Linked DNA regions of Lepisosteus oculatus. The protein of the gene in region 2 interacts with the protein of the main gene of each other region in a pairwise test. Links are inferred from orthologs where the notes say so. Each region holds a gene or a part of one and is shown on either strand. Other genes may lie near its edges.

Region 1 (7,956 bases), on a different chromosome or scaffold from region 2:
CTTGTCCACATGAAAACCTAGTATCCATCATGGCTCGCATAGTGGGCATGCTTCTTCCATGTTGTGGTTTTTCAGTAAAATGGATGACTGACTGTAGGTCTTTTAACTTGTAGACCTTGGCAAGACTTTGCTATTAAACACTAAGCTCTGTTAAATGGTAACATGGCTAAATGTCTTAATGCATAAATTAGTAAGGTATTAAAGTTTAAGTGTAACCATCCTGTTGAATTCCCAAAAAGTGATTTTCTGAGTTACATAGGCATGGAGTTAACTAGTAACCCAAATTCCACATCCTTTTATCGATGTGGAAAAGAAATGCAAAGTATTGCATTTGTATCCTCTGGGATCTGGTTTTCAGAATACTAACATTTCTGCATGATAGAAATCAGGTGAAATATGTGAAGCTATTTAAATCCCTCATAATGCAAGTTGTCTTAAAAAGAAGACTATGATATGCTTGAGAAATTTCTGGAAGTGAGAATTCTGGTTAAATAGTTGCATTTAGAGGTTGTATGATAGCTTCCACTTCGGCAAACTGGAATGTTCATCTTGCTCAATGGAAAGACTATCCTGGCTACCTATTAAAATGCAGACCTGAGAAAGCTTTCAAATTCCCAGTAAGACTTTGAGTAGCCTCACCTTCACATGTGGTACTGCAGGAAGTGTTTTACCATTCCTGATGTGTGGGATTACTTCCATGTCGCCTGATCTGAATTCTGTTTTAAGAGAAGCCCATTTTCCTTCCATGTGGATACCTGAAGGAATAAGCATAGATGACACCTAAGAATTTAAAGGTAGCAACTGAATTTTCACCTGACTCTCTTCAGGATCTATTCACACTCCGATTTTGATTTGAGGAACTCCAGAGTGACTCAAGTTACAAAGGTGTAATCTTGGAACACAGTCTGGCTTCTCTGCTCCAAATATACTGGTTGGGGGAAAAACTCTGTATCTCATCCAAATCCTCTGAACAAACAGAACCACTAGAGCAAATCAGACAGGATATTAAAGGGGGAGGGCTGGGATTAGATGGTGAGGGTGCTCTGGACTTTCTGCCAAAGGGACTACACGGACCTTCAAGATAATGGTTACCTCACTGAAAGGTGCTTGTCCAATCGGTACTAATTTGTCTAACATGGTAATGCAATTGGGGCTTTACTGTGAAGCTGTAAAATGGGTCACATGGTAATTCCAAATTATGGTTATGTAAATGTAATTACTAGAACAATAAGGGAGAAATGTTAGTTTGAAATAAGGTAAACATCCCCAGTGTTTTAAAGCACTTGCATTGATTAAAACTCTACATTCATGCAATATCTGATTAACAATGGGTCATACAATTAAAAATATTTCCCCTATATACAATTCTATAATGTGTGCTGACAGCCTGCATGTCTTTGGCAATAGTGCCACATATGGATCTCTTCCTCAAACCTCCTTGGTCCTCCTACTGTATACAATACAGCATACTATATATATGACTTGGATTGATTGTTGGGTAATCCAATCTCTTTACATTTTTTCTGTTTAACCTATTTCCAGTCCATTGTATTACTTTGGAATGCTCCTATATATCCATCTGTGTCATTAACTTGAGACTAATTTATGCTGTTTTTTTTTGTATTAGCTCAGATGTTTATGCAATGGAAACTACTTGATCTAGAACATGTACTGCTAAATGCTCACTGGTTTCAATGAGTTTTAAAATTGTATTGGTTCTGCAAAATCATATTCCTGTTATATATTTCATGTATCTTCTATATGTATGTTTTTGACAGATACAGTTGAATACATGTTGAATTGAATGACTGTGTTGCGAGTAAGTTATCTTGCTCAGTGAACATATGGTTAGAGTGTGTAGGTTTGCTTCTGCTCTGGCCTGGATTTGTAAATAAACAAGTAGACATCTATGGCCAGCTATGCAAATTTGTAAAATGCAGAAACCATGTGTTTAAGTATAGAGTATGCTTGATTACTCTTTTCCAATTGCGTTTGTAGCCTTGCAAATATAGTACTTGGGAGCATTTTGCAATTGGATATCAGAAAGATGTGCATTTTTGTTTTTCATTTTCCATGTGACCTAAATGTATACAATCTATTCTTTGCAACTCATTTGTAAATACTGAGGATGTGTGTTTTTTCATTCTGATCTATGTGCTTGTATAGTTCTTCCAATTAAATATTTTTCAAATATGGTTAATTTTGTGGAATGTGGTTCTCACGATTCCTAAAGAATGCAGTAATGTTTAAAACCTTGACCGGTGTTTGAACCACAGGCAGTATGGCAGTCAGAATCCTTGTTTGTCTTGTGGGGATTGTTTCCCTGTACATTTTGTCAGAGGAAGCCTTTGTTTCATTGATAGCTAATTCTTTGCAATCCACAATGAAGCTCAACCTGTTGATAAATAAAATGCCCTTAACTCTTTAGTTGCACATTTTTACATTTTAATTATGTAGGTCAAAGACGCCATTTTGTTCCTCTGTGGCTTTATGAATGTAGTAACTATCTGCAATGGCATGGTGTTTAGGATTCATGTCTTGCCAGCAAGACTCTTAAGTTTTATGGTGTAGCTTAAGGCGAGAATAAGGGAATGATTTACTATTGTTTAGAATTCTTTTTACGAAATTCCTTTTGAGCAGGTGCTTCATGGAGGAGATTCTCATTTCTCATTTAATCATGTTATGAGTCATGGAAGTGAAATAACTCATCAAGACTGACAAGTGATTGAGATCAGGCATTTAATTTAGTTTACTAAAATAATTCCATAAATTGAAGTGACGAGTAGCAGAAAAACCTTGATGTTCACATTATTTTGGTTTAACCAATAGATGAGCTTGACTGGAAAAAAATAAGTTGCAGTGTTTAGATTATGTAGGTGGTTATACCACAAAATTATCAATATAATTAGGAGAACACCTTTAAATTGATAGGGGAGCAGTCACTTAACTCATTTTTGCAGCCGAACTTTACATAAGATTCTTCCATGAAAGCTACTGCAAGACGCATCCCATAGAGCTACACTGAAACAGGCTACCAGCCAGCAACAATTAGCATGTAATGGGGATTCTACAAGTTGCCATGGTCTTGCACACTGTTGCAGATCGCTGGGCCTGGAGCAGTCCCACCAGGCAGGAACTGTAGTCGTCTTGTGTATTGCCCAAATTAAACTGGGTGCGTGCTTTCACAAAATCAAAAACTCACTGAAAGAACTACTGTACATCAGCATATGACCAGACTTTCTGCAGGCCGGATACCAAAGTTATGCGCCATTATAATTCTGTTTTTGGACAGGAAATGAGTCACAGTTATTTAAAAAGTTTCTTTACTGTAGGTGCACTCACATGCCCTTTCCCAACAGCTTGTAAAGAATGTTTTAGCCTGATGAGAACCTGCTTTGTGTCTGGTATCAATTAGCTGGAAGGTGGGTGCAAGTGATTTTATTTGACTTGAGAAAGAAACTTGGATATTTTTAAAAAAATATTTAAAAGAAATCCCCACTCAAAATTTTGTTTGCCAATATGGTGTGGAATATTATACTTTTACAAATGAGGATATGAATGTCTTTTTATGTTTTAAGACTTTTTCATTACATACAGGGGTTCACTTGTTTGTGGATTCAATACAATTATATAACAAATGCAGATGTCAAACTTTTTTAAAAAAAATCTTGTACTTGAGAATCTTATACTACACTAAGTACATTTTGATGTGGATGAAACATGGTTTTCAGTAAACTATTATTTCCTAAATCACATTATTCTTTAAGAGCTGGTTTACTCTTTGTGAATATTAAGATGCAAATCTATATTAAATAAAGCTATTTAAATTGACCTCTATATGTACTTTATGTAGTTAAATAAGTTTAATTGAAAAACGCTATGAAGCTGATCCCCGAAATAAATTAATGTATCATCATCTTGACATTAAATACGGCTGTCCTGCTGCATACAATTTGTAAATCCTTAAGGGCGTCGAATTTTCACAACAGCTGAGTCAATAGTATTTGGTAAAGATGTTTATGAGTGTACTGACGGGCAGGTTAAGGACGTTAAATACTTCTTAAAGAAATATTTGCATTACTCAATTATAACGGGTGCGTAACATTTTTTGGACTGTAGCGAATTTCAGTATATTAAATTCAATAATTCTTAATATATATATATATTTAAACAAAAGCATATTAGGGTATTTAGTATTTTAAACATCAAAACTAAGACTATTAAAATAATCCAAGCAGTCATCAAGAGTGGTATCACATTAAGAGAAAGTCGATCCAGGATGTCATACAGAACACACTTAATTTACAACACGTTAAAACGACTATAATTCATGTAACACAAATATTTCGGATGTCATTGTGTATGGGACGTTTCCATTTTGTACAGCACAAGACGTATTCTTGTACTAACTAAAAACATGAGACGTTTTGGAAATCTACTTATCGCCCTTTGAAATGGATTCTGGCGTGTTAACCAAAGTTAGGAAATTAATTTCCCCCATAATCCACACATGTAGCTATGCATTTTCCATATACTCCGAAATGTTGTAAAACGCCAATTTAAACGTATTGAGGCACACATCCCATTTCTGCACAAAGGTAGTTGCGTTCGTGTGAGTACGCCTACTTACTGTTAGGCATGGCATTGACATTGAGATTTTTACAATGCAAACACACCAAGCTTGGGGGGCGCCGCCTCTCTCTTAAGAAGTAGACGGACACGACCCCTTTCCTCGCTTTTCCTTTGTCATCCAGCCCCTGCCTCCCCCTGTCCCGAGCAGTCGGGACCGCTCTGACACCTCGACGCCACAGTCGTGTGCGTGCACGTCCCGCCGTGCTGCGCTGACGTCAGAACGCCTTTGAGCTCGAAAATGTTTAGGAGCGTTATGCGAGCTGGGAGCTTTGGGGGATTTTCCGAGAAGGAAATAATAAAAATATACCCTTGATAAGCCATTCTAGAAACACCGTTTTGGTGTATTTTGTTTTTCCCGACAGTCTAGCTTCGTGGTGAAGTTTTAATCTTAGGTCAGACCTAAGGGAAAGTTAGCTATTTCTTTTCCGGAGTGATGTCGAATCCTGGGACTCGGAGGAACGGGTCTAGCATCAAAATCCGACTGACAGGTAAGCAAAAACACCATTGTTGTTAGGGGTTTGTGTTGCAGTTTTGTCTTTTAAGTCCGGCACCTCCACTTTTAATGCCATACACCCTAGTTGTGGGTGAAGAAGCCGGGTGTTTTTCATTGGAAGCCTTTTGTGGGCAGACCCCTTGCTGCACCAACCGAGGTGAAATAGCCGTAGACCTGGTAATTTCTCTACCATTGGCGATGAACCAGGCTTGCTGGGATCTGCTGTTGACGAGGTTGGCCCACTTTTTTGTTTCCTGCGATTTGGCAGAATTCATTTGTACAATAAGGACTTGCAAACAAACGATCTGTGCACGGGATGTAGGTGCACACGGCCCAGGATCACATTTACATCGGCCTCTTACAAACCTTTTTTTTGTAACTTTTATGCATTTTTGCTGGACATCAGCATCAGTTGCATATCGTGAACACCTTGCATTTATGATCGTTTCCGCTTTAATGCTGTCATTTGCCTTTGCAATGTATTCTGCTGTCTGTAAATAAATGGAAGGGACACACTGTGCACAGGCGCACTCGGGCGGTGATGTCGCTTCCTTCCTGCCTGATTAGAGCGCCTGCTAACCCGTCTGTCCTTTTAATTTTCGAAGTGCTTGACTGATTTCGCTCCGGGGAGGAAGCTGCTCTGGCAGAGCCGGGATCGGAACCGGATCAGCCCTGCTGTGCAGAGCGGTGAATGATTTGCAGGACTAGTTCAAACTCGGAACTGCCGAGACGGAGGCAACAAGCTGACGCTCAGACCTGGCAGCCTGCTTTTGTGTGAAGTGTGTGTCTGCACTGTACATACATGTGTATGATCTAGGCCTGTCAGCTTTGCAGCCTGACTAAAACAGAGACCATGCCCATTCAGTTCCACTTAACAGAAATCTGTGGCCAAGTAAATCGGTCTTATTGTTCTCCAAATTAGATATATTCCCGATTGTCGGCGCATTTTTCCCCGAACGGATTACTAGGGCTGAGGTGCTGTAGAGAAGCTATGGTCAATGCACCAGTCTTCTGTTCCTGTGGGTCCGGAGGGTGTCAGCACTGTCTACTAGTACTGGAATCTGAATGGGGTTTAATCGCTGTTTTATGGGCCCTTCAGCTACAGTACATGTGAAAGACTCTTACAGACTACACTGCCGTTTTCCTCTACGTGGGTAGTTGCTACCATTGCTATGCAAACTGCGAAGCTTGCGGCCATGAACCCGAGATTCAGATTCTCATTATTATTTTAATTGTTTGTCTTTTAGAATCTGACAAAGTGCGTTAGAATTTTGTTACGGTCTGCGTGGAGTGTTAATGTGAGGCATGAAAAATCCCATAGGTTCATGTAGTGCACTCTTAACCCGGACAGACTTGGCCTGCAAACTGGGGCGTATTAGGGGCAAAAAAATGTTAATCGTAAAACCCAAAGCGTTTTATGGTTTAGCTTTGCTTGTCGGGTTGACTCTTTGTTTTCTGTCTAGATCCAGCGACAGGGGTGGAGAATGTAACTGTCCAGCTGATAACTTAAAAGTTCACGGGTATTGGGGCTGATGGAGCATTCATTTTGTTTGTCGTCATTTTATCTTTTGGTCACAAATATAGAACTGTCAGCCCATCTTGTACTTTAGCTTGAATTGTTTTGATGGCCGGTTTGTGATTGACAATGATGCAGTAAACTGGCTTTACAGTAAGAATCATGAAGTTGTTTCTCGAAGCAAAGTATAGGCTGTATTGTAGCCTCCTAATGTCACCATTACTTTGTCATATGAAAGATGAAAAACAAAAATGCTGTACTCGATCAAAGATATCCAAGTTAAGAAGTGTGTGTATTTCACCATTCACATTCACCATTCATCATTATACATTATTCATTTACACAGAAGACCATTGGTTGCTGTATAGGCCTAGAGCTTTCAGTCACACAGTACCTATGAAAGACATGGGTTGTTTCTGGATTATGTTGTACTGCAGCTTCTACTATAACCTCAATCAAACTTTCAGCAGAGCATTCAAGTTTCTAGTCGTTAGTACGTTACTGAAGCTATTTGTGTAAAGAGCTGTAAAAAGCGCCGTCTGTAAATTGATTTTTTAATTGCCGAAGTGGAGACAAAAACACCTTTGGAGAGTGACAACTTCGAATAAATTCTGAATTCCATTGTTCCCATACCCCTGTATGGAGAGAAGATAGTGTTATTTAATTTGTTTTAAGTATCTTTGACTTAGTCTAATAGGAAGAGGCTTTTATGTCTAGCTACAGTTACATTTTGATTTTACAATCTAAAATTAGATTAAATGATTCTTTGTCATAGTTTACCAGTGTTACACAGGGGCAACCTTTCATGGGGATGTTTATTTGTTTTTAAATCTTGCAATAATGTCATTTGAGTTTAGTAATAAGTAATTGGTTAAGTATTAAGTGCCCAAGCTGTTTGATAGAAATATTGTTCCCTCATCAGACCGTGGCTCTTGTTTCTTCAGCTGACCTTACAAGAGTTCATGGGTGAATAGTTCCTGAAATGGCTGTGATTTTGTTGTTGTTTTTGAGGAGCACAATGTGTGCCGGTCAATGGGAGGCAGATTGTGAAATTGCAAGGGCTGGAAAGATCCACACTATTTACAGTTACAGCCATTTCCATTCTTCAGTCTTCACGACGATTTGAAAATGGAAATTAAACGCTTTAATGAAAATTACTGAATAAAAGTAATCTCGGCTTTTTAATAGAGCGGTTTTTATTTCAGAAGTGTGTTAATGGTATGGACCTTGTGTGCCAGTTTTAATTAATTTTTGGTTCTTTGATTTTACAGGATTTAATAATCTTCATGTTGCAACTCTCAACTGTCTTGATGTA
Region 2 (7,416 bases):
CACTTTTTTCAGAATTCACAGGAACCCTAAGTGTCCGTAGGGACATCCTTAGGGATATCTGTGGCCTCACGCCAAGGCTCAAGCAGTAAGACGTGGGTCTCTCCGCCCCCTACCTTTGATACCATGACAACCACAAAGTTCTTCTCGTCGATCTTGTAGTCCTTGATGGGCGTGTCGTCCTGCAGGATCTTCCCGGCGTAGATGAGCTTCTGCCCCGCCACGGGGAAGCTCTCTTTCCCCTTTTCCGCCTCGATCTTCTCCTTCAGGGCTTTCACCTGGAGAAACAAACCACCAGCTCGGGAAATGGACCACTCCTCCGCTTTTCTTTTTAGCGAGCTGGGATCGCCAACCACCGTTTCGATCTCCATCCCCAAGGATTTGGAATCTCCAGTTGTCCGATTGTGAGTTTGTGTTAAGGCAGCAACTTCTGATTCTCCTGTGGAGGAGGGGGGAAGCCCCTCTGACATGCCTCTCCCCCGCAGTGCCCTTTAGCAAGGCGTCACCCTGCAGATTCAGCTCCATGATCACGGGTTCGAGCCTGGGTCATGTTACTGAACTTGAACTTGAACTTGAACTTGAACTTTATTGCCATATGTAACCGGTACTGGTACAATGGAATTCTTACTTACAGAAAGTCTCTCGATTATAAAACAAGTGTAAAAAACAAAACAAAGTGCAAACAGTGCATCAAGACAATGTACAAACAAACAATAGACAATGTGCAAGTAAACATGCAGACAGTTTGACTGTAAACAATACAGACGTGTAAACAATGACTGGAGACGTACAATTAATAAATTACAATGAGGTAGATGGTGATGGTGTAGGTGTGGTCCGAGGGGGATGGCTAAATGTGTTCGCCAGTCTCACTGCTTGTGGATAGAAGCTATTGAAGAATCTAGTGGTAAGTGTCCGTATGCTCTTATATCTCTTGCCTGAGGGCAGTGGGGTGAAGAGCTCATGCCCGGGGTGGTGACTGTCCTCTGTGATGGCCAGAATTCTACCACGGCAGCGGTCCTCATAGAGCTGTTTAATCTCGGTGAGACCGCAGCCGATGATCTTCTGGGCCATATTGACCATTCTCTGCAGTGCCTTTCTTTCTCGCGAAGAGGTGTTGCCATACCACACGGTGATCCCGTTGGTGAGGACGCTCTCGATAGTGCAGCGGTAGAAGTTCACCAACACATGTGTTGGCATCCCCCATCGCTTGAGGCACCTCAAGAAATAAAGGCGCTGCTGAGCCTTCTTCATGATAGAGTCAGTGTTCACAGTCCAGGTTAGATCTTTAGAGATGTGAATTCCCAAAAACCTAAAGCTGGTGACTGTTTCCACTTCCGTTCCATCAATACTGAGTGGGCTGTGAGTGTGTGGCCTGTGTCTCCGAAAGTCCACTATTAGCTCTTTCGTTTTCTTTATGTTCAAGTCCAGGTTATTGCTATGACACCACCTCAGCAGCTGTACAACTTCATCCCTGTAAGTGGACTCGTCATCATCACTGATCAGTCCTATTATAGTGGTGTCATCGGCAAACTTAATGATGCGGTTATTGCTGTGTCTTGCTGTGCAGTCGTGAGTAAATACTGTGGCTGGGACTCCCCGTGCGACGGCACACAAGGGGATGTCAAGGGTAGGGTCGGATTAGCTGGCCAGGATGCCGTTGGCTCATTGTGCTGTAGGTGAGGGACATGCCTCTCCTCATGCACAGGGATTCACGGCCCTTGACGTGTTACAAGACGGGTGTCTCCAATGCGGGCAGGGTGGAGGAGTCTGCCTACATTTCCACATCCTCCCCTGTGTGCGGTGGGGGGGTTTGTAGCTGAGAGCCGAGATGAGAAAAGCCACACACGATTGGTGATTCCAGATCAAGGACAACACAAAATGGAGGCTATACTAACAAGAACAGGAAGGGCTCCTTCAGGAGCCAGGAGAGTGGCGGGTGTCTGAAGCGGTTTCCAGCACAGCTTTCAAAACCTGCCTGCCTGACATTTACTTTACTCCATTCGCAAGTAGCTGCCAAGCGAACAGGGCTGGCTAAAGGGTCTTTTCTTTTTTCTGAAATTTCTAAGAACCTGAGTACAGTTAGCAACGAGAAAACACCATTCATCCCTCCCTGCCCTTTGGAAGCTCCTCAGCCAGCATTTCTCCTGGTCTTTAGAAACAGGGGAGCTGTACAGGCACAACTCTGTCTTGCCTGATGCCTCACAAGGCCTGTTAACCAGCACAACATCAGGCCTGTCATCTCTTCCACGCTCCTAAGTGTGGCCATGTGATGTTGTGATTTTGCTTGGGAGCCTCTTATTCTGAAACGATGTTTGCTGAGCTGTACAAAAATGTTTTTTTTTTATTAAATGTGTTCACTTCCCAAAAGAGGTTACCTTTTATAAAACACAAAGAATTAAATGTATTTTTAAAATCGTACAGTAGTGTGTGTATATTGTGTACACTAATGTTTTTTTTTAACTGGGAAAAGCAGATGGGTCTCAGACGAGGGAGTTTTAAAAAATATTAAGTCTTCAATATGATGTCATGTTTGCGAATGATGAGCATTAAAACATGCCTTTTCGGTCTCTTTTCTAAACTCCTTTACACATGCAATGTCACCCATATCTATGTTAGTAACAGTCACTCAACAACGGCCTAAACTGCGTTTCTGTCTGTCTGTTACCATAACAATCGTTTCTTATCGTTTTTAAGGAACCGCCTTTCATGTGATGAAGAAACCGCTGTACAGAGTCACGTGGCGTATGACTTCTGCTGTTCACGCACGAAGCATCATAACTAAAGTACCGAAACGACACTTTAATTCCGCAGAATTATTTCATAATTGTATACGCGGTTCCTGTAATGAAACACACCGAATTACTCATTGGAACAACTCAGTGGAACGCTTTTACTGGGAATTATGTGTCAACGTATGCGGTGTCTTACGTGTAGTAACATTATTCTTTAAAGAAGACTCGGACAAGAAAACGAACATGTACAAATCTTCCGACAAACCGAGAGGGCCAACTCTAGCTGAGGATATCCCTTTAGCTCGGGGTGTCCAATGGGTTTTTTTCAAGAAACTTGTTAAAGCATATGCGATCGCTCGGCGAAACGAAACTGTCAACTTTGAAAATGACAAATTCGACTTAAGTCTAAATCCGCCAAGAAAACCATCACCAACCATCACTGTTTTAAAAATATCTAACGTTACACTTCAGTTTCATCAAATCGTGTTTGGGTTTGTATGGACTGAGGCATTAGTACGGCTTAACAGGTAATATTAATGCCTCAGTCATGCTGTCATTCAACAACCTACAGCCGCTTACCGTTTGCTCTGCGTCTATGTCAATTTGAATAGTTTGCTGTTGCAGCGTCTTCAGAGTGATTTGCATCTTTCTTCTGTTTCCGATCTGTCAGTCCAAAACTTCTCTAAAAAAACTATATATTTGAAACACAGCCTGTCAATTTGGATCTGAAATAACTCGCACGCTGGTAGATGAGGTTGGCGAAAAAAACAGCACACACGAGCCATCAACTCACTGCCGCCATCTTAGTGATGACGTCATGAAGCGAACGCGGTGGGCAGACGGTCCGGCGTCATCTCTGTCACGTGACGTGGGTATCACTCGAGTTGAGGGTAATAGAACGCTATTAAACACGTGGTTCTTGTAAAGTTAGGTGTCATTTTCGTATAACTGCGTGGTCAGAAGTCTGATTCCGTGAACTAAACTTAACATACCATAAATGGCACTATAGACAACGATGTACCAATTGCCGTAGTGTCCAGTGACGACAGTAAGGTCTATCGGAGACAAAAGGCTCTGCTCAGCCTGATTTTGGTACCTGCTTGCGGTGATAAATAATCCTTGTGTTGAATAAATACATAAAACTAAAAGACACGCATCCCGTATTTTATGTATTCAGGGAAGGGAATCGTGCCAGACTGGAACTTTCTATTTTTCAGGTTGTTTTTCTCTGGAGGTCTCCCATCGCAGTACTACCGACCTGACCCAAGCTTGCGTATCTTCTGAGATCTGACAAGATCGAATTAGTGTTATGATATTTTTGTATATATTTTGTTACTCTGCGTCCCCCTAGCTATAGAAGTCCGTCAAATGCAACAATAATATAGCGAACAGACAATGGCAGAACACAGTAATGACTTCTAGTAATATCAGTCAAGTACTAATTCCCCTAAAATTTATTTTTGTGTGCTTGTTCAGAACTACAACTCCCACAAAGCACCTAAACGTCATTTCCGGCCTTTGCAGTTTGTAAACAGAGCAAAGGGGAGATGGGGTGGACTGATCCTATAATACTAACTTAAAGTGAATCGGATATGTAACTGATATATAAATACCGGCGATTTTTTGGGTTTATTTTTGGCTAGGAGAGATTCGGTTGCAAGCACAAGAAAGAAAGCCAGAAAACTGTTCATGGATAGGCGTGATTTAGCAGCGGGTTAGCTTTCCTTGCCCATATTTCGGGTGTCGGGGGAAGACGGGTCTCGTTTAGCCGCCCCTCTGCAACTCTCTCGGCCAGTGCACCCGAGTCCACTTCGATGGGGAACTGCCTCTCCTCGCAGGGTGCGGACGACTTGTCGTTGCTGAACGAGTCGGAGGGGGCCAGCTTGCCCGGAGAGCCACCGCCGCCCTATCAGGTGCAGTAAAGGGGGAACGAGTGAAATACAGACCGGGGATTCGCTGGGAGAGGACGAGTGGTCGAACAGAGCTCTTCAGGCTGGCGTCTGGAAAAGCCCAAACAAAAACGAACGCCTGTATAATTTATACATTTTTAAAATGCTGGAACTCCGAAGGCGAGGGAATTAACGAGTATTTATTTAGGTAGTTCAGAAGTGTAGTTAAGACGAGAAAACTGGTACACAATTATTTCTGCTCCAGGGAATGTGGCTTTTTTTCCTTTCTGTTAGTTTTCCGTGAAACGTGCTTTTGAGACGATTCTCATGAGAACCTCTCTTCTCTTTTTGAGACGTGAATCCCGAGAGAATTAAGAGTGCTACACATTTACTGCACAAAAAACCCGCGTTGCTTTGTCTGTTGTGTGGCAGACACTGCGACAGTTTATTACACTTTAAGAGGCCGTTGCATGTTGATTACAGGGGTTTAATTTAATTTACAAAGTAAATTAAAATGAAATGTCTGACTTCAATAGCATACCGAGTACGTCTGCAACGCTTTCAAGACTAAGAACGTTTTATCGCCTTGGTGTTGCTACCCCCTTTTAAAAAATAAAATTAAATTGTCAGTGCAGCCAAGCGTGATAAAAACAACTCTTTATGCTTATTGTGATGTAGATCTGAGGAGAAGGTCCATACCAACACTCCAGGGAATAGAATCTATTGATTCAAACTCTTAGTTCCTTTTGATCAGACCAGCTGATAGACATAGCAGGGTTACCCTTTCCGTCCTGTTGGGCTGAGACGGGGCTTATAATGGGATTTGATTGAAAAAATTCAGGTCTCCTCTAATTTGTATGGTTTGCTTTAAGCCTTTTTCTGTTTGTATTTCTTGAAGTTGACATGTTGAAACACTCCAAATTAAAGTTCATATCTTCACGGTTTGTGCTTTTCACTGTTGGATGTACTGTCTAAATATCTGGAGCAGTTTTCTTCAGAAGATTCCTTGAAACACACCTACTGCTAGATGCAGAATTTAGTTGAAAAACGTTTCTTCCAAAACACTGAGGATATTTACAGTCCAGTTGGTAGACTAGACTTTAGTGGTCCAACATGCTTGTGCTCCTATCTGTCATTATTGATTAAATTCCCACACTGCCAAGCAAACATTGTTTCATTAAACATTGTCTGCATTGTAGCACAGAAAGAGAAGAATGAAATGGTTCCAGTTAGACTTCTTTGGACGTTGAGAAGGTCAAGATAACCTGTAGGACTGCAGGTGTAAGAGAGCTGGGAACCCTCTCTCTAAAGATATTCAGGCTTGAAGCACAGTACCTGGGGGGGAAAGACGTTTCCTCTATTTTCATGTGTTGAATAACACATATGATATTGTAAGGGCTAAAAATAACCCTGTGCAGCTGTTTGTTTTATCGCGTGTGTGTGTGTGCACCTGTGTGCCTGCTCTCCTGTAGGCTGGGCTCTGACTGTGCCCTGTGCCTGCTCTCCTGTAGGCTGGGCTCTGACTGTGCCCTGTGCCTGCTCTCCTGTACGCTGGGCTCTGACTGTGCCCTGTGCCTGCTCTCCTGTAGGCTGGGCTCTGACTGCCCTGTGTGCCTGCTCTCCTGTACGCTGGGCTCTGACTGTGCCCTGTGCCTGCTCTCCTGTAGGCTGGGCTCTGACTGTGCCCTGTGCCTGCTCTCCTGTACGCTGGGCTCTGACTGTGCCCCGTGTGCCTGCTCTCCTGTACGCTGGGCTCTGACTGTGCCCTGTGCCTGCTCTCCTGTACGCTGGGCTCTGACTGTGCCCTGTGCCTGCTCTCCTGTACGCTGGGCTCTGACTGTGCCCTGTGCCTGCTCTCCTGTAGGCTGGGCTCTGACTGTGCCCTGTGCCTGCTCTCCTGTAGGCTGGGCTCTGACTGTGCCCTGTGTGCCTGCTCTCCTGTAGGCTGGACTCTGACTGTGCCCTGTGCCTGCTCTCCTGTACGCTGGGCTCTGACTGTGCCCTGTGCCTGCTCTCCTGTAGGCTGGGCTCTGACTGTGCCCTGTGCCTGCTCTCCTGTACGCTGGGCTCTGACTGTGCCCCGTGTGCCTGCTCTCCTGTACGCTGGGCTCTGACTGTGCCCTGTGTGCCTGCTCTCCTGTACGCTTGGCTCTGACTGTGCCCTGTGCCTGCTCTCCTGTAGGCTGGGCTCTGACTGTGCCCCGTGTGCCTGCTCTCCTGTACACTGGGCTCTGACTGTGCCCTGTGCCTGCTCTCCTGTACGCTCGGCTCTGACTGTGCCCTGTGCCTGCTCTCCTGTAGGCTGGGCTCTGACTGTGCCCTGTGCCTGCTCTCCTGTAGGCTGGGCTCTGACTGTGCCCTGTGCCTGCTCTCCTGTAGGCTGGGCTCTGACTGTGCCCTGTGCCTGCTCTCCTGTAGGCTGGGCTCTGACTGTGCCCTGTGCCTGCTCTCCTGTATGCTGGGCTCTGACTGTGCCCTGTGCCTGCTCTCCTGTACGCTCGGCTCTGACTGTGCGCTGTGCCTGCTCTCCTGTAGGCTGGGCTCTGACTGCCCTGTGTGCCTGCTCTCCTGTAGGCTGGGCTCTGACTGTGCCCTGTGCCTGCTCTCCTGTAGGCTGGGCTCTGACTGTGCCCTGTGCCTGCTCTCCTGTACGCTGGGCTCTGACTGTGCCCTGTGCCTGCTCTCCTGTACGCTGGGCTCTGACTGTGCCCTGTGCCTGCTCTCCTGTAGGCTGGGCTCTGACTGTGCCCTGTGCCTGCTCTCCTGTACGCTGGGCTCTGACTGTGCCCTGTGCC
Region 3 (7,408 bases), on a different chromosome or scaffold from region 2:
CATAATACAAAAGCAAGGGGTAGCAGCATAGGATTATTCCACTATATTGTCACTATATTGTGACATATGGTCAGATATCAAATTAAAGGTAGAGATATGCAATTGCAGCAAAGCTGGAAGTGTGTGGTCACGTGCTGGGTGATGACCTGCTCTCCTCTGTCCGCCAGACACCTGTACAGACCCCTGCTCCGGAGGAGACTGGCCCCTCAGCACGCAGAGCTGGCCGTCTTTGTGATGTCTGCGGCCATGTGTGAGGTACCACGCCCTGGGGGACCAGACATTCATCCACAACTCTCTCCACCTGCCCAAAACAAACGACGTAATGGAAAGACCATTACAGTTCTGACCCTGCATTTCACCTGATTGCTTTTTTTCTGCCTTCTCGCTTTTGCAACATCGTGCTGTCCACCGTGCACGGGGAAAGAACAGTCTGTGGATGCAGGAGATCATTCATGTCAGGAATCTTCGGTGTGCAGGAGCTCGGACATGTCTAAATCCCTAGGAATTGTTTAGATACTAATGCGTCACGGCACACTAAATAGCATTTTTTTCTATTGATTTGTGAGCAGGTGATATTCCTTTGATGATGTGTGTTGTTCTATGAGAATGAGTTATGGGTCAGCTAGATCAGGGGCACCAAAGGGATACAAAACTGTGTACCTGTGCATTTTTATACAAGTCATTCAGTGCTAAAGATTGTGTGAAGAATAAGGTAGTTATATAATAGTTATAATTAATGATAATTAAGGACAGGAGCATTGTGTTATTTGAACATATCAGTTTCATAAAGGAATCTTATCATGTTATATTATATAAGAAATCTAACCTGGAACTGTAGATGTGGACCCACAAAGCTTCCTGCACCCAGGAGATTGCTCTCTTTATTCTGAGGCAAATGGTTGGTTCAGTCTCTTTCACGTCTGTTGTGGCCTCTCCTGAAATCCTGTTCAGTTTCAGGTTTTTCTCACCAAGGTAACAAAAGACTTGGGGAATCACTGTTCTTGGTCTGTAAAAAAAAAGAAAAAGAAAACCATACTTCACAAGAATCAAAAAAAAAAAATCAGCTTAACAAACACAACTTAACAAAACGACAACATCAAGACTGTTGAAGCTGAATATTGGCACTGATCTGTTTCTAATGGCTGTTGTTTCAGTAGTAAGTGGATAACTGTCCTGTACTGGGTAAAGATTTTTAAGTCTCAGGGAAGAGTTTAAAGTGTTTTTTATAGCATCGTGATACCTGCTCATCTCAACATGAATCACATGTTGACCTTTACATTATGACTTACAGTACCATGGATGTAGAGAGGCAGAACTCCAAAGTACATGGTTTAACAGCTTCTGATATGGATAACATGGAATTTCTGATTAAAAAGAGTGGATTTCATGTAAGGGCATTAAAGCTACTCTTGCATTAGTGAATTTCCATGATCTGCATTGTTTGGATCAGAGACGTGTCTTTCAGCTGACTGAACTGTTCCTTATTGTCATTCAGTTCACCTGACTTCAATCCAGACCTCAATCCTCCCTCTCTGTCTGATATTGTACTTCACAGTTCCTCATTGCTGTACCTCTGCAGATGTTTCGCCTCTGGATCTTCATCATCATGATTCTAGAGGTAAGATCTGAATTTGCTTGATAAATCAGGTGTTACTCTTTGTACTGGAATTTACAGACTTCTCCAGAATGTAGTAAAAGCCTTATATCCTAGCACATGTGCAAATTGTCCTGCTTGTCCCTGTGACTGTCATTGACAAGTGACTGCTCTGAATTTGTTCATTGATCCAGGGTGTTTGTGGTACAGGCAAACACCCTGCTCACCAGTCCACCCTCAAACTGCCTTTGACTAGTGCCAAACAGCTCAACAGACATGCCTATAAAGAGCACTTGATTAGATTTGATCATCTGTTTTCATGTCTGTTGTCCGTTCCTGTCTTATTGTCCTTTTGCCTCATCTCAGGAAAGATTTCTGAGCAGCGACACCCCCCTGTGACCACTGTGTGTTCATGTGCATCTTGAGGTTCTAGCAGAAACATTAGCCCCTGTACTCTAACGCAAAGAAATTACACAGAGACTCACTTTGGAACCGTTTCCATTGTCAGAAGTACTTGTTTCACAAACTCTCTTTGGGATCTTGCATTTTAGCACTGTGTGAAAAACCGTGCTATGATCTGATGAAAGGAGTATCCTTTCTTAACTAAAACATTAACATGTTTACATGTATGAAATACCCATCTTGTCCTCTGTTTTCCTAATTATGTCTGACACTGTATGTAAGGCTGTTTATGCAATCAGACAGCTTACTGTGCATGTTTTCCTTTGTAGTATGTCTGCTTCACATATTCTTTCATTTCTTGAAGGTCAAACCACAGTGCCTCACTCCAGAGTCTTGTCTCCCCAGATCAAAGTGGCGTACTTCCTGGGGCACTATTTCACAGGGAACTATGGCAACGGCATGGTGTGGCTCTGCATGCTCCTGGGCCCTCCCATCGCGGTCATGACCTACTTCCACGACTACTACATCCTGAACAAGGAAAACTCCTCCTGGACGCTTATTTTACCACCACTCTAGACCACCAGCTCTGTGGGAAACCCGGCCGATTAAAGGCTTCTCCCCTGGAGAAAGCAATGCCCCGTCTCGTCTAGCGTCTGCCATGTGTGCTCTTCTGCTCTGTAACTATGGCTTCTGGATTCAGTGTTTTGCCATTCTTATGCTCCTTTAAATGTTTGCTTGACACCCATTTAAGTCATTGATGTTAATCCTGATTCCAAATGCCATACTTGTTAATAGTCAAATTGATGTAACTGTTGGGCATTCGCTGCCTAAGATCTGAACTGTCATTCAAAATCAGCCCTTGTCCTTTTTACAGGAGAGCAGGGGTGCAAAGCACAGCAGTCTCATTATTCACACATGGGAGAAACGGGCAGCACTGTCTGAAATATGGCCTGCACTGCAAGGACTGCAGTGAACTGAAGCTCGAGACAAAAGGCACTCACTGGTATTAGCACAAGAAAAATGAGAAGTTGTTTTATTTAAGCATATTTCTGGGATAAATTGCAGTCATGATGACCTCTGTGAAACGTAGTTGATTGTGTATATTCTACGGCTGTTGGAGTCAAGCTTCTTAAGACATTGGGAAGATGTGAAATGGGACTTTTGCCAGTCACTGGATTATTAGAAAACTGCATCCTGCAGAGGACCTTTGTCTGGGTTACCTACAGTCATGGACTGAGCAGCAGTAGGTCCCAGTGTGCCTCTGTGACAAAAGGCATCCTTGGGGCTTCCATTCCAGTCTGCATCACGTGTTTATTCCAGATCATCCTTGATTTATTAAAGAGACTTCAGCTCATGGATCAATTTAGCAAGTAAAGGCCAAGTCAGTAATGAGGCTCTTACAGCCTGGACCGGAGGAGTCAAGGCTGCCTACCCCTGGTATAAGACAGAGATCCTTCTCCCAGGGTTCCTTGGGGAGCTACTGCTTTGTAACTTTTTGTAACTTTAAAGGTAACTTTAATCCTTATTGGCAGCTGCTGTGGGACCAGCTGTGTACTTAACCTATTCATCAAAGAAATAAAGAGCTCAGAATGAAGAATAACCAGAACAGCTGTGATTCTCTATGACAGGGTCATAAAGTCCTGGAGGGCCACTGTGTTTACAGTTTTTCTAAGCCTCTTTAAAGAACCAGCACCCAGGGGAGGGGTTGGTACTGTACATTGGTTAAATCCCTTAATGAGGTGGTTTGGATTGAAGAGAAATTATTTGGAATGAAAATCATTGCCATGACCTTCCTGGATTTGAATCCGACATCCCTGCATAATGAGCAGCGTTTGGATTAAACCATGTCTTCGTCCCATCTTCCAAATATCTCATGAGGTACTCTATTTTCCATGGTGTAGACACTAGAGACTTATTTTCATTTAATGTAGACCCAGTAGGGAGTACCAGTTAAACGGGGGCAAATTTCCATGACAAGATTTTGTTTCTAACTCTATGCTGTCACACGATGAGGTTCCCAGAGATTTAATCGGTAGACATTGTCATGGTCTCAGCTGTCTTTTTGACATACATTAGGAAAGGTTACCAAATTAGCGAAATTTAACGAAACGGTGAACTAGAGGATCTGCAGCAACACTATACATAACAACTCCGGATTCCAGTCTCGTTTTTGTTAAAACTGAGGGGTCCCTACTAATACCACGGAATAAAACGAAGAATCATATTCCAGCCAGGGACGATCGGGCTGCACTCCGCTGTTTCCCGAAAGGCTTTGCGGCTCTCCAGCCAGAGTCATGTGACTCTGACATTGAGGCGGAAATGAAAGTTAACTAGAGGCACCGGAGCTGAGCAGGAGCAAGGTACGCCAGAGCTTTTGGAAATTGTATTTCTCTACCGCGATAAGCTTCCCTTCTGTCTGGAGCCGGCTTTCTCCAAAGTGACACCTTTTCTCTTACGGAGGGTCAGATTACTGAAGCTTGTTTTGCTACCGTGCTTAGAAGTGCTGCCCGCTTGCTTGTGGTTTGTGTGTGTTATTCTAGTCCGGATACGTATTGGTAACAGACAGCAGCGTTTGTTTTGTTCCCATTCGCGATACAGGGGAAACGCGGGGCTGACGTGCTCATATGGGGGTTCAGTCTGCAGTGCCCGGGGGTGTCCAGGGTTTGTAACGTACGCTAGAACAGAGATGCGGTGGGTAGGACTGAAACCCGAGTCGTAGTGATACTGTAGCTCTGTTTCTTCCTTATTTCTCGGAGCACGCAGTTTAAGGTGTGTTTGTTGCCGCATTTAGCAAGCAAAAATGAGGAAACATTTCGCACCGTTTAGTCATGGGGAGTTCGGTGTTGTAACATTCTCTTCTGACTCCTTTTGGCATCCAGAACTATACGACTACAATATAATTCATCTCCCATACCGGAGTTTTCTTTAAAAGGATGGATAAAATTACTGCTTGATTGATTTCCTCGCGTGCAGGTGAAAATGTATCGTACGTAAGGCTGGCGTCTTCCACCTGCGAAGGGAAAATGTAATTTCGTCAGCTGTGCAAAGGACTGCGGTATTGAAGTCTCTCCTGGGTCGTAATACTCGCAGGAGGGGCTGCTTGTACACAAAGCGTCTCTTGAGCGATGGAGGGTATTTCATGGTCAGCAGAGGTCGGTCCTAAGGGCGGCAGGGGAAACAGAAACTAATGCTGGGTTACCCAAGATGTGCCACCATCCCTGTTCTGATCAACAGTCTTCGTAGACAGCATGCTGAAAGACGATTGTTCTGCTGATAAGCCTCTTCAGCTTTCGTCATTTTTTTTAGTCAATCTAATAAATTCTATCTGTTACGGTTTTGGGGCCAGACTCCTTCTTCAAACTTATTGATGGCGCACACAGTGCATTCCCTGCTTTGTGGTAAAGACTTCAAATAACTAAACTAATTGAAGACGCAATGCAAAGGGGTATTTCTACCCATACAATCCGTCCAATCACGCAACGCCTAATCCGTAAGTGAGTATTAGGCGGCATTGGTGTCGGAGAGTGTTAATTAGGTCTGTGGCTATCGCTTCCTCACCTGATCTGCTGTCGCATGGCATCCAGGTGCGGTAGCGCTTCAGTGGCGGAAGAAGTGGGGTCCTATATGTGAAGTACATTGGTAAAGCATTCTATTAAAGCAAGGATCTGTCATCCTTGAGCCCGATTCACAAAGGATTGGTAAAACGGAAAACGTATAAAGCTGAAACGTAGTCTGTGTCGGAACAGTGGTAAAAGACAGTGCTTCTGTCACCTGACTGGTGATTGAAAAGCCCAATTGCTTATTTTCCAATGGGACCTAGTTTTGAACAGATGGCACTACAACCTTTTTCGAGCCAGGCTGAAGTTTTGAGTACATTCAATACTGCAGGAGGCTTAACTATAAGGTGTGTGTATTTGATTCACAGCAGGTTTCTTGCATACTGGGTTGATTCTAGTTTCTGTGCATAGCATGAGGTAGTAACAATAAACTTTATTTTATGTGTTGCTTTTAATACTGGCTTCTCAAAATCGCTTTATAGTAAGAAAAAAGGTGCTCTATGAGAGAAGACAGCAGAGTTACACGATTACAGTGTGAGTTTGGAATGCAGTAGGAAGGCAAAGGGGCAGACGCAGAAACAATTAAATAGAAGCCCTTCTAAACGGCATGCTAAATATAATATAGAAGATTTTATATCGTTTAAAGGGGGCGGAGCGGAGGCTCTGTGGCTCAGGATCTGCGCCTGTGGCTGGAAGGCTGTCGGTTCGTATCCCGCGGCCGGCAGAGGAATCCTACTCCGTTGGGCCCCTGAACAAGGCCCTTAACCCCAGCTGCTCCAGGGGCATCGTATAAAACATATAAGACCCTGCTCTCTGAGCCCCAAGCCTCTCTCCCTGTCTGTGTGTCTCATGATGAGCAAGTTGGGATATGCGAAAAGACAAATGCCTAATACAAGAGATTGTATATGGCCAATAATAGTGATCTTATCTTAAATATGAAGGTTTTGAGTCTGAGGTAAGGTAGCCTGTGTGTGCTCTCCATGAGTGCTGATGTGTCCAAAGCAGCAGATTTGTCCAGTTTCCAGTTTACATCCTCTTGCAAGACTGACATAACTGTGGAAAATAAGAAAACATATTGACTGTTTGGTTACTGGCTGCCTGAGGGATTTTCTGTCGATGGAGGAGTTCTTGTGCATCTCCCACTTCTCTAATTTACTAATGATAGTGTTTCTTTGGTGTGATCCTGCACAGCCACCTTTTAACATGGTGATTTGACACATTAGCTCTCGCTGCTGTAGCTCCTCTTGACTCTTGTTACTGCTGTTCCAGAGCTAATTACTAAGAAGCGAGTTGTTGACGTACCAAAGACAAGCCATATGCTTTTAAAATGTGGTTCCTGTGATACAGAAAGTACTCCCACATTAAAGTGAGCATTACTTCTCCCATGTATTTTTAGTTCTAATTCTTCTTGAATTATTAGTGCTAATACTATATAGGCCTATGAGTTTGAAGCCTTTCTGGATATCGGCATGCCTGGGATAACACTGCACCTCTATTTTTGTTATGCAAATCCAGATATATCGTATTACTCTAATTCTGCCCTGATCTTTGTGGTCATTGACCCTTGTATTTGAATGGAGGTCCAGTAATTACACTAAATATACCTCATTGTGCATGTTATGTATGTTAATTGGATCCATTTAAATCACTGGGCAACGGCTTTATCTGGGTCAAAACCTTTCTGCACCTTTCTGATTTTGTATGGAGGGGGAGGTATGTTCCGTAGTGCCGTCTGCATGACAGGCAGCGTATTTCGGCAGCACTTTGTGGTTGTGTTCCGAGTCACGTCAGGTTATTCCCTGTGAAATTAGTCACTAAAATCTATGATGTTTGTTGATGTTGGCTAAATAGTTCC
Region 4 (7,586 bases), on a different chromosome or scaffold from region 2:
GACATACTACCCCACTGTTTTTATAGGCGTTCATGTGATCTATTCTGCAAACACTTGCTTTAAAAACCTCCTCAGCAATTTCGCCTGCTCTATACTTCAGTGACAGAAAAAGACCCCTTTGCATTTAAAAAAAAACCACTCACTCAAATGGCAACCTTCTGGATACTTCATACAACTATTATTGACACTGTTTTCTGGGAAAAAAGGTACAAAAGAATAGAAAAGTATGTTTCCCCCATCCTTGTCCCACAAACTTATGGCAATTAAATGTTAGATTTAAAACTTTTAAACCAGGAGCTGGTTTTATCCATGAATACAAATTGAAGGCCCAAGAAAACAGCTCATCCCCAGTGACAAAGTTGTTAAGAGGTCTTCCATGGACAGGGCAGAATCACAGACCTTGAAAACTAGGCAATACCAAATGCCCCTTGTTGTTTTAAACAATGTGATGAATTGCAGTCGTGAAAGTAATCTGAAGGAACAGATTACATTTAGCACAGTCCTTTCCTACCACAGATTAGAGTTTTCATATTTATAGCCCACTGCAAACCCAGACCCTGAACATCCATTCACAGTTCTCTGCAGCCCGTTGTTATCCCACGGACAGACCGAGTGTACAAGGTGCAATTTCCAAAATAACGTGATGAACACCCTGAAGCAAACTGGAAGTACAAGAAAAATAAATGAACAAACCACGTAGGAGTTTGTCAACACATAGATGCCTCCAAATCTCTCCGCTAAAGGATCTGCACCTTTTTAAACACACACCTTTATGATGACAAGCAACTAAAGGTGGGCAATTTAAAACTACTCAAATAAAGAACCAATCCCTAGCTTAAAAACAGCTTTAGGTTTACCAGTAAATAAAAGTTGCCAAAAAGTATTCTGAGTTGACATACTCTGAAGCAGTCTATATTTATTCTGTTGATGTTTACAGTATGTGAAAAAAAAAATCAATGCAACCTGTTTATTCAGCTATATACAACATGCATTTCTTATGAATCACAAACATTCTTGACTGTAGATTTCCTCTTCAGATGAATTAAAATGGTAGTTTTTGGCACTACAAATGTAGCCAGACCCTCTGGAGCAGTGAAAGACAACTGTGCAAGTACATGTAAATATTTGACTAATTCTGTGTTATTACACCAAACTAGAGGGGGCAACATAGCTTGGTCACTAAGCTTTTGGACTCAATTATCAGGTTGTGGGTTCGAGGCCCAGCTGCAGACACTGCTGTGGTACCTGGAGTGAGGTGTTTTACCCCAGTGGCTCCAGTCCTCCCAGCTCTCTGAGTGGGGATCAGTCTTGCTGGGGGGGTCACGCCTGTGATGGCCTAGTGCCCTGCAGAGGGGGAGTCACAAGCTCTCTCTTCCGCTTAACACTACAGTGACCAGGCTGGGCTCTGTCCTGAAGCTGCTGTGGACTTTACCTTTCTTATTTATACCACATTACACTCATAGTACAGATTTCCACACAGTAAAATTCTTAATGTATTCTTAATTTGATCTTTATTATTTGAAAGATAGTTTGTAGTATTATATAACAATAAACATGCACGTTAAAACTTATTTATTTTGACTGACTACAAGCAACAGTGATATACATATTTGCTGCATTAACTTGCACTAGACTCTTAGTGCTAGTGATGTGGTTTTTCTTTCAGTGAAGTTCACTCCTGGTCCTGGAGGGACATCACTGAAAAAAAGGTCACCAGGTCAGTCATATTCCTCATCGAGCCCAGGCCTGGAAACACAGACCAATTCAATTAACTGAATTTGGTTCAGATACAGTCTCTCAGAGTGCAGGGTGGGATGGAGACGAGGTGAAACTGCAGCTCCCTAAGAGGATCAGGAGTTAATAACGTTCAGATGATCCATCCCTTCCAACTTCGGACCCAGTCATATTAAAACGTGTCATTTGGGGTCCAGGCAAATGAGTCACGAATTAGAGAGACATTCATAGTTTTACAAACCTATACGGATTTTTGTATTGCTTTGTGTTCTGAAATGTACCGGAAAGTTTTTTCACTACTTTTGGCTGCTACAATTAATAATGCACTCTAACGTAGATAAACAACATTTCAAAGTCAGGACACAACATATGAGAGACGGACCGATGGCCGCCTAGTTTTTCCGATAATCCTCAACCTAACGGTTTCTCACATCCAAAAATATACTGGGGTTTTTAAACGTCACCACCTGCTCAAACCTCAGACAAGCCCATGTAAAACAGAGCACACGATCTTTTTCTGAGCAACTCGGTAATGCTACGTTTATGTTTCAGTTGTATTAACGCTAAAAGATAACTCTACTTATTTAAGCAAATCACCTGACACATTACATCATCTTTTTTAACTCTGACACCGGTTTAGGTACCGTATGAAAGTCACGAGTTACGCTGTCGTGTCTTCATTAGCTAAACCAACTAATTCAACGACACCATTTCAGTTACAAGTCATTAAACGCCGACTGCAAATCCAAGCTGTTTTGGGAAACTCATTTCTTACCTACGAGAGACTGCTTTAGTGTGTTTTGTAATGTCAATAGAACCAGCTCGCTCGCCATCTACTTTACAAAGATTCTCGACATTTGCAAAAAAAAAATGTTCACTGGACGATTTGGTCGGCAAATTTCTTTCTTCGGCTACAGAAGTGAACTATCAAACTGCGAACCTGCGGGAAAGAATCGATTCAGTGATGATCTCGCTGTAATTCTACAGGCCAAGAAAAACATTGGGTGTTTAACCCACACTTCCTATCAAAACAAGAATAAAGAGGAAAGCTAGAGATGATGACGGCTTATTCACCGAACTCACCCACATCCTGGTCGAAAGGATTTTGTGAGAATAAGGGCATCTTGATCCCTCTGAAGCACAGCACGGCGTTCCTTGTTTTTTAATGTCTGCGGTGTAAATAGTAGGAATTCGCGACTATCCCTTCCTCATCCATCCAACTCTCCAACTTCCACTAGTTGCTCTTCCGTAAACCCGGGCCGGGCCACAGATGCGCCTGAAAAAAATCAGTGCCAAGTGAAAGGCCTTTGCGCTTCTACAGATTTTTATCTACGTCACCGGGTTCAATTTTGTTCTGGTCATTCTTCGGGACGGTTGTTGAAAAAGTTATTTTGATAACGTATTTAAAGGCGACCTTCTTCAGGCATCTCCGTGGGCACCCCTCCGATGGCCGCGTAGCGGCGGCGGTGCTGCCCCCACGCGGCAGGTAGTGGCATAAAAAACAGTGGAGAATAAAGTTAGACTGGCAGGGGGGTCGTCTCGTTTGTGGGATGTATTTCACGGTGTAAGAGTTCATAATCTTAAAAGGGGTAAACAAAAACTATCCTTTATTCCAGTGATATTGCATGTTTCCAAAAATTGCGCAGCCTGTAGCTGCGTTAACTGAAACCAAGCAATGTTAAAGGCACCTCGGTTTTAATTTTCGGAATCACACGACAAAACCGTGTGTTGATTCGCTCCTTCGAACCGACAGCCTCACTCCTTTCAAATAACCTGAAGACGACGCAGAGCGTTCAAGGCGCGCTGTATCCACCTACCCCCGTTTACAATGTGCTGAGCGTCTGCCTTCAGGGAAAATGACTGGAGGGGGGGGACCCACACGCACACAGCTATAAGAGCCCCTTTGAAAACCGCGCATTCCCCCCAGATGTCGCTGTTTGGAAAGCGGCCCCTGCAAGCGGCTGTCGGAGGCCCGCAGCCTGCCTTTCCTGCAGGGGTGAGCGGGCGGAGCAGCGCCGCAGTCACCCGCCGCACCGACCAGCTCAGCCATGGCGAGACACACCGCCGCGGCCGCGAAAGCCGCTCCCGTCGAGGCGCCTCCCAGGCGGAAAAAGGGACCGGGGGCACTGGCCACTGCCTACCTGGTCATCTATAACGTGGTCATGACGGCCGGGTAAATCAATCCGACGGCTAAACTTCGTGGGGGTTGTTGTTGTTGTTGTTGTTTTTTCTGTCACCGAAATGTGTCAGGTGTCCGCGTCCGAATGAATGAAAGACGCCGTGTCTCTGTGGTGACGGGCGCCAGCTCCACAGAGCAATTTTGTAGCGCAGGAGTTTGCAGAGGCGACTCTTAATGCATATATACACTCAACGCACCGGTGATTTGCGTGGGTTTTTTTTTTTCTCCCCGGTGCCTGTTTGACCTGTAGAGTTATTGCATGCACTTGACGCCGTTAAATCCTGTCACTCGTGTAGGGCGCTTCTCTGCCGTGCTTGCGACACCCCTGGCTTTCTGTGTGGATTAGCCGCTCGGGAAAGGGATAAACGCGTCCCTGCATTTTGTGGGCAGCTCTACCAGGGAATTATGTATTAGGCAGCGCTTTTTTTATTTCTGAGTGCTTGCCTTACATTGTAGAGAGAAGATGATAAATTCACAAAGGTCTAGAAATACACTCCACTTTTCATTTCCGATAGTCCTACGTTTTATTCGGCATTTACAGTATGAAAGGGTTCGCGTATTTAATTCTAATGGACGGTTCTACGGTTTAATCTCGTTTAATTTCTCAGGGTATCGGACTCTGCCGGAGCAAGGCAGAAGTCCTTAACTGGAAGTTTCTGCAACGCGCAAGTTGATTAATAACCGTGGAAATGAAAACATGATGCATTTTATTTTAGAAACGTTTGTTCATGCCCAGCATCCTATTATAAAATCCTATTATAATAGGATGCCTAACGATCCTATTATAAAAATATCAAGAAACATCGCGAATAAGTAGAGAAAACGACAGCAATGAAACCATTCTTCCTGCAAAAGAAGTTGCAAAACTGTTCATGTTAATAACAGTTAATATTTGAGCAAAACCGCTGATCTTTTTCAACTGCATACAGGTGTATGAATACAGATACAACTGAATTACTGGGCCGCTGCTCAGGTCACTGTGCTCTGGTACAAAGGGGCAAAGTTTCGAAAGCACTGGGCAGCCTTTGAAAGACATTCCCGTGAGTCTCAAAGCCTATGAAATGCAATGATTTTTGTTTGTTCGTGTAGGAAATTTGGAAATGCGTTTGTGCTTCTTGCACATTATTGTCTGGTGGCACAGTGGCATCGTGGGTTCGGTTTGCAGACTGGGATACCGTCTGCGCAGAGTCTGCATGAGTTTTCCCCAGGGAATTCTCCATAAAAGACGTGCTGGTTGCCCTGTGTCTGTGTCCTCTCCTAAGTGCGCTCCTGAGATGGAGTGCTGTCTCATCCAGTGTGTTTTCCTGCCTTGCGCCCATGATTCCAGGTTCTAAATTGCTGAGACACTCATGTGGAAGAAGTCAGTGTCTAATGATAGCTGAGTAATGATGCTTGGTTATCAGATGTAAAAAAGCTGCAGAGAATTGTGCCTTGCAACCCCAATAGATAAGCGATCTCTCTTTAAAAATAACCTCATTCAGAGCTGTAAATCTAGGATGCTAGTTCCCTGGAACATCTGGATGTGTTTTCAAGAGCAGATTCAGAGTTTGACTTTATATCCTGAGTTGGAGGAGATGTGAAAAATGATTAAAACGGATTTCATTTATCTGTTTTTTTCATCTCTGTTAACGATGAGATCTGTGTAACAATCATTTCTCATATTACATTCCCCTTTCTGAGTGAGTACAGTGTATTCCCAGCTACTAAAGCAAGCGATTCATCGGGATGATTTCATCCTATTGTAGGTTCAAACCGCAGGTGAGGTTGTGCTGTTGTACTTTTGAGCAAGGCGCCTCACCTGAATTGCTTCAGTAAAGTACCCAGCCATATAAATGGGTGTAGATATAAACTGCTCAGCCATAGAACGTAATAATGAGTAATTCTAGGAGGCAGCCAAGTCTTACCCAGGGGGCCACAATGGGCTAGGCACCTTGTGACCCTCTGCTACAGGTTGCCTGCTGGACTCGGTGTTATTGCCGTCTTCAAATCTTGTATTGTGCATTCTGGTGTTAAGAGTGTAAAAGGCTAGGTGATGAGTGTCAGAGATCGCTTCACCTCTGTGAAGCTGCTGGTGCAGTTCCCTCGATACATCGGGCTTGAACAGAAATTATATTCTCTATTACGGGTTCCAAAAGTGACAAAACAACTGCTGATTATAAACAGGATGCAGTTTCTTGTTCATTTAATGAAGCAGTCTGCTCAGGCCCTTCTTGATTACCTGGATAATTGAGGTTTACAAGTGGTAAGTAATCATTTTGTGGGTCTTGACTGAATTTGATTTGCAAAACTACCTAGTTTTAAGGTTTTGAAAGCATCCTCTTTTATAAGGGAGGGAATTGTTTTTTTCCCCTGTTTGGCAATACAGTCCTCACTTGATAGATCTGTCTTTAAAACAAGAAAATGCATGTTTTCAGCCTCGCCCTTCACAGGCTGCCTCCTCTTTTCCCCAATTACAGTACTCATATGTTGCATTGGTATGCTGTAGATCCTGAAGGGGCAGTTTCTGTGGTTAAACGACTATTTCACTCACATTCACAGATTAGACAAATGTCCATGTATAAACAATGCATAATTTTGCTATTGTTATTGAGTTTTATCAGAAGGCCAGAAAAATATAGTGCTGTTTGTTGTGTTTTGTACTGGTCTTTCATGCGAAGTGTCACCAGGTGTGAAACATTCCAGATGTTACGGGATGGCGTTTGCTGCCAAAATTTTAAAATCTTTCTTCCATAAGAGCTCTAAAATAATGACAATGGCTGGAATAGAGCAGGATGGGTTTAGCCTTTCATCTGCAGCCATATGGTTTTCGTTATCTGAACAGCTGTTTTTCCTCTTCTTAAAGCCCTCATAGGGTGTTTTCAGCAGAAATGTTAGTCTGCTTGCAACTCATTTTATTTCTTACATCCAGTAGGTTACAATTTATTGCCCCCGTTAAGTCATTCCTGTGGAATTTAATTCCTTCATTTCAAATTTCTCTGGAATGTCGTGTTGCCTTAACGTTACAGTCGATTTTAGTCTGGCGCGTTTTCTGCCACTACGTGACGTTTCACTTTCCCGTGGGAGAGCACGTTAAGGCTCGTCTGTCTGAACCGCAGGTCGAGCGGCGGACGGAGGGGGTGCGAATATTTCCCTCCCCGGAGCTGTGTGTCCAGGATCTGCTTTGCGAAACGCGTGCTGACGGCTGTTTTTTTTCTCTTTCAGGTGGCTGGTCATAGCTGTTGGTTTGGTGCGGGCGTATCTCGCGAAGGGCAGTCACCACGGCCTGTACTACTCCATAGAAAAGCCTCTGAAATTCTTTCAGACTGGTGCTCTGTTGGAGGTGGGTGGTGCTGAACTTTACACCTTCCATTTTTAACCAGTAAGAAGGAGAAGCCCGAGATAAGACCATTTCTTATCACGGTTACTCTTGGCTGAGACTTTGCATAGAACGGGTGCACATGATCCATTGGCTGGAGGATAGAGATAATGAGAACAGTGTGAAGTTTAGATAAGACTGAAATGCATCCCCTTGTGTCAGGTCGCAGTGATAGGTTGTATTAGCTATTGTCTCATAATCAAACAGGCTAACATTATAATGCAGTTAGATCCCCTGGATTAATGCATCTGTGTATCAGCTGTTATATACTTATACTCTGGACACTCCACTCAAAGCGCTTTACAGGTAATGGGGATC

Evidence for each region.
Region 1: the proteins of rnf11a (region 2) and smurf1 interact in binary tests that used the Homo sapiens proteins (3 or more experiments, as listed by UniProt). The link is inferred for Lepisosteus oculatus from reciprocal best matches to the Homo sapiens genes RNF11 and SMURF1.
Region 3: the proteins of rnf11a (region 2) and wwp2 interact in binary tests that used the Homo sapiens proteins (3 or more experiments, as listed by UniProt). The link is inferred for Lepisosteus oculatus from reciprocal best matches to the Homo sapiens genes RNF11 and WWP2.
Region 4: the proteins of rnf11a (region 2) and stam2 interact in binary tests that used the Homo sapiens proteins (3 or more experiments, as listed by UniProt). The link is inferred for Lepisosteus oculatus from reciprocal best matches to the Homo sapiens genes RNF11 and STAM2.

The regions. Positions count from the first base shown.
Region 1 is NC_090714.1:10,267,250-10,275,205, forward strand, and holds the start of smurf1 (E3 ubiquitin-protein ligase SMURF1), read left to right. Parts: upstream 1-4,840; 5' UTR 4,841-5,065; coding exon 5,066-5,120; intron 5,121-7,956. UniProt on the Homo sapiens protein: E3 ubiquitin-protein ligase that acts as a negative regulator of BMP signaling pathway. Mediates ubiquitination and degradation of SMAD1 and SMAD5, 2 receptor-regulated SMADs specific for the BMP pathway.
Region 2 is NC_090706.1:16,877,251-16,884,666, reverse strand, and holds the start of rnf11a (RING finger protein 11a), read left to right. Parts: upstream 1-4,244; 5' UTR 4,245-4,546; coding exon 4,547-4,645; intron 4,646-7,416. Other genes in the region: rad23aa (RAD23 homolog A, nucleotide excision repair protein a), read right to left, coding at 114-275, 3,312-3,377. UniProt on the Homo sapiens protein: Essential component of a ubiquitin-editing protein complex, comprising also TNFAIP3, ITCH and TAX1BP1, that ensures the transient nature of inflammatory signaling pathways. Promotes the association of TNFAIP3 to RIPK1 after TNF stimulation.
Region 3 is NC_090715.1:12,307,369-12,314,776, forward strand, and holds the start of wwp2 (NEDD4-like E3 ubiquitin-protein ligase WWP2), read left to right. Parts: upstream 1-4,292; 5' UTR 4,293-4,356; intron 4,357-7,408. Other genes in the region: diacylglycerol O-acyltransferase 1-like, read left to right, coding at 168-319, 1,556-1,618, 2,402-2,646. UniProt on the Homo sapiens protein: E3 ubiquitin-protein ligase which accepts ubiquitin from an E2 ubiquitin-conjugating enzyme in the form of a thioester and then directly transfers the ubiquitin to targeted substrates.
Region 4 is NC_090707.1:4,803,449-4,811,034, reverse strand, and holds the start of stam2 (signal transducing adapter molecule 2), read right to left. Parts: upstream 3,117-7,586; 5' UTR 2,858-3,116; coding exon 2,818-2,857; intron 1-2,817. Other genes in the region: hacd2 (very-long-chain (3R)-3-hydroxyacyl-CoA dehydratase 2), read left to right, coding at 3,783-3,907, 7,115-7,232.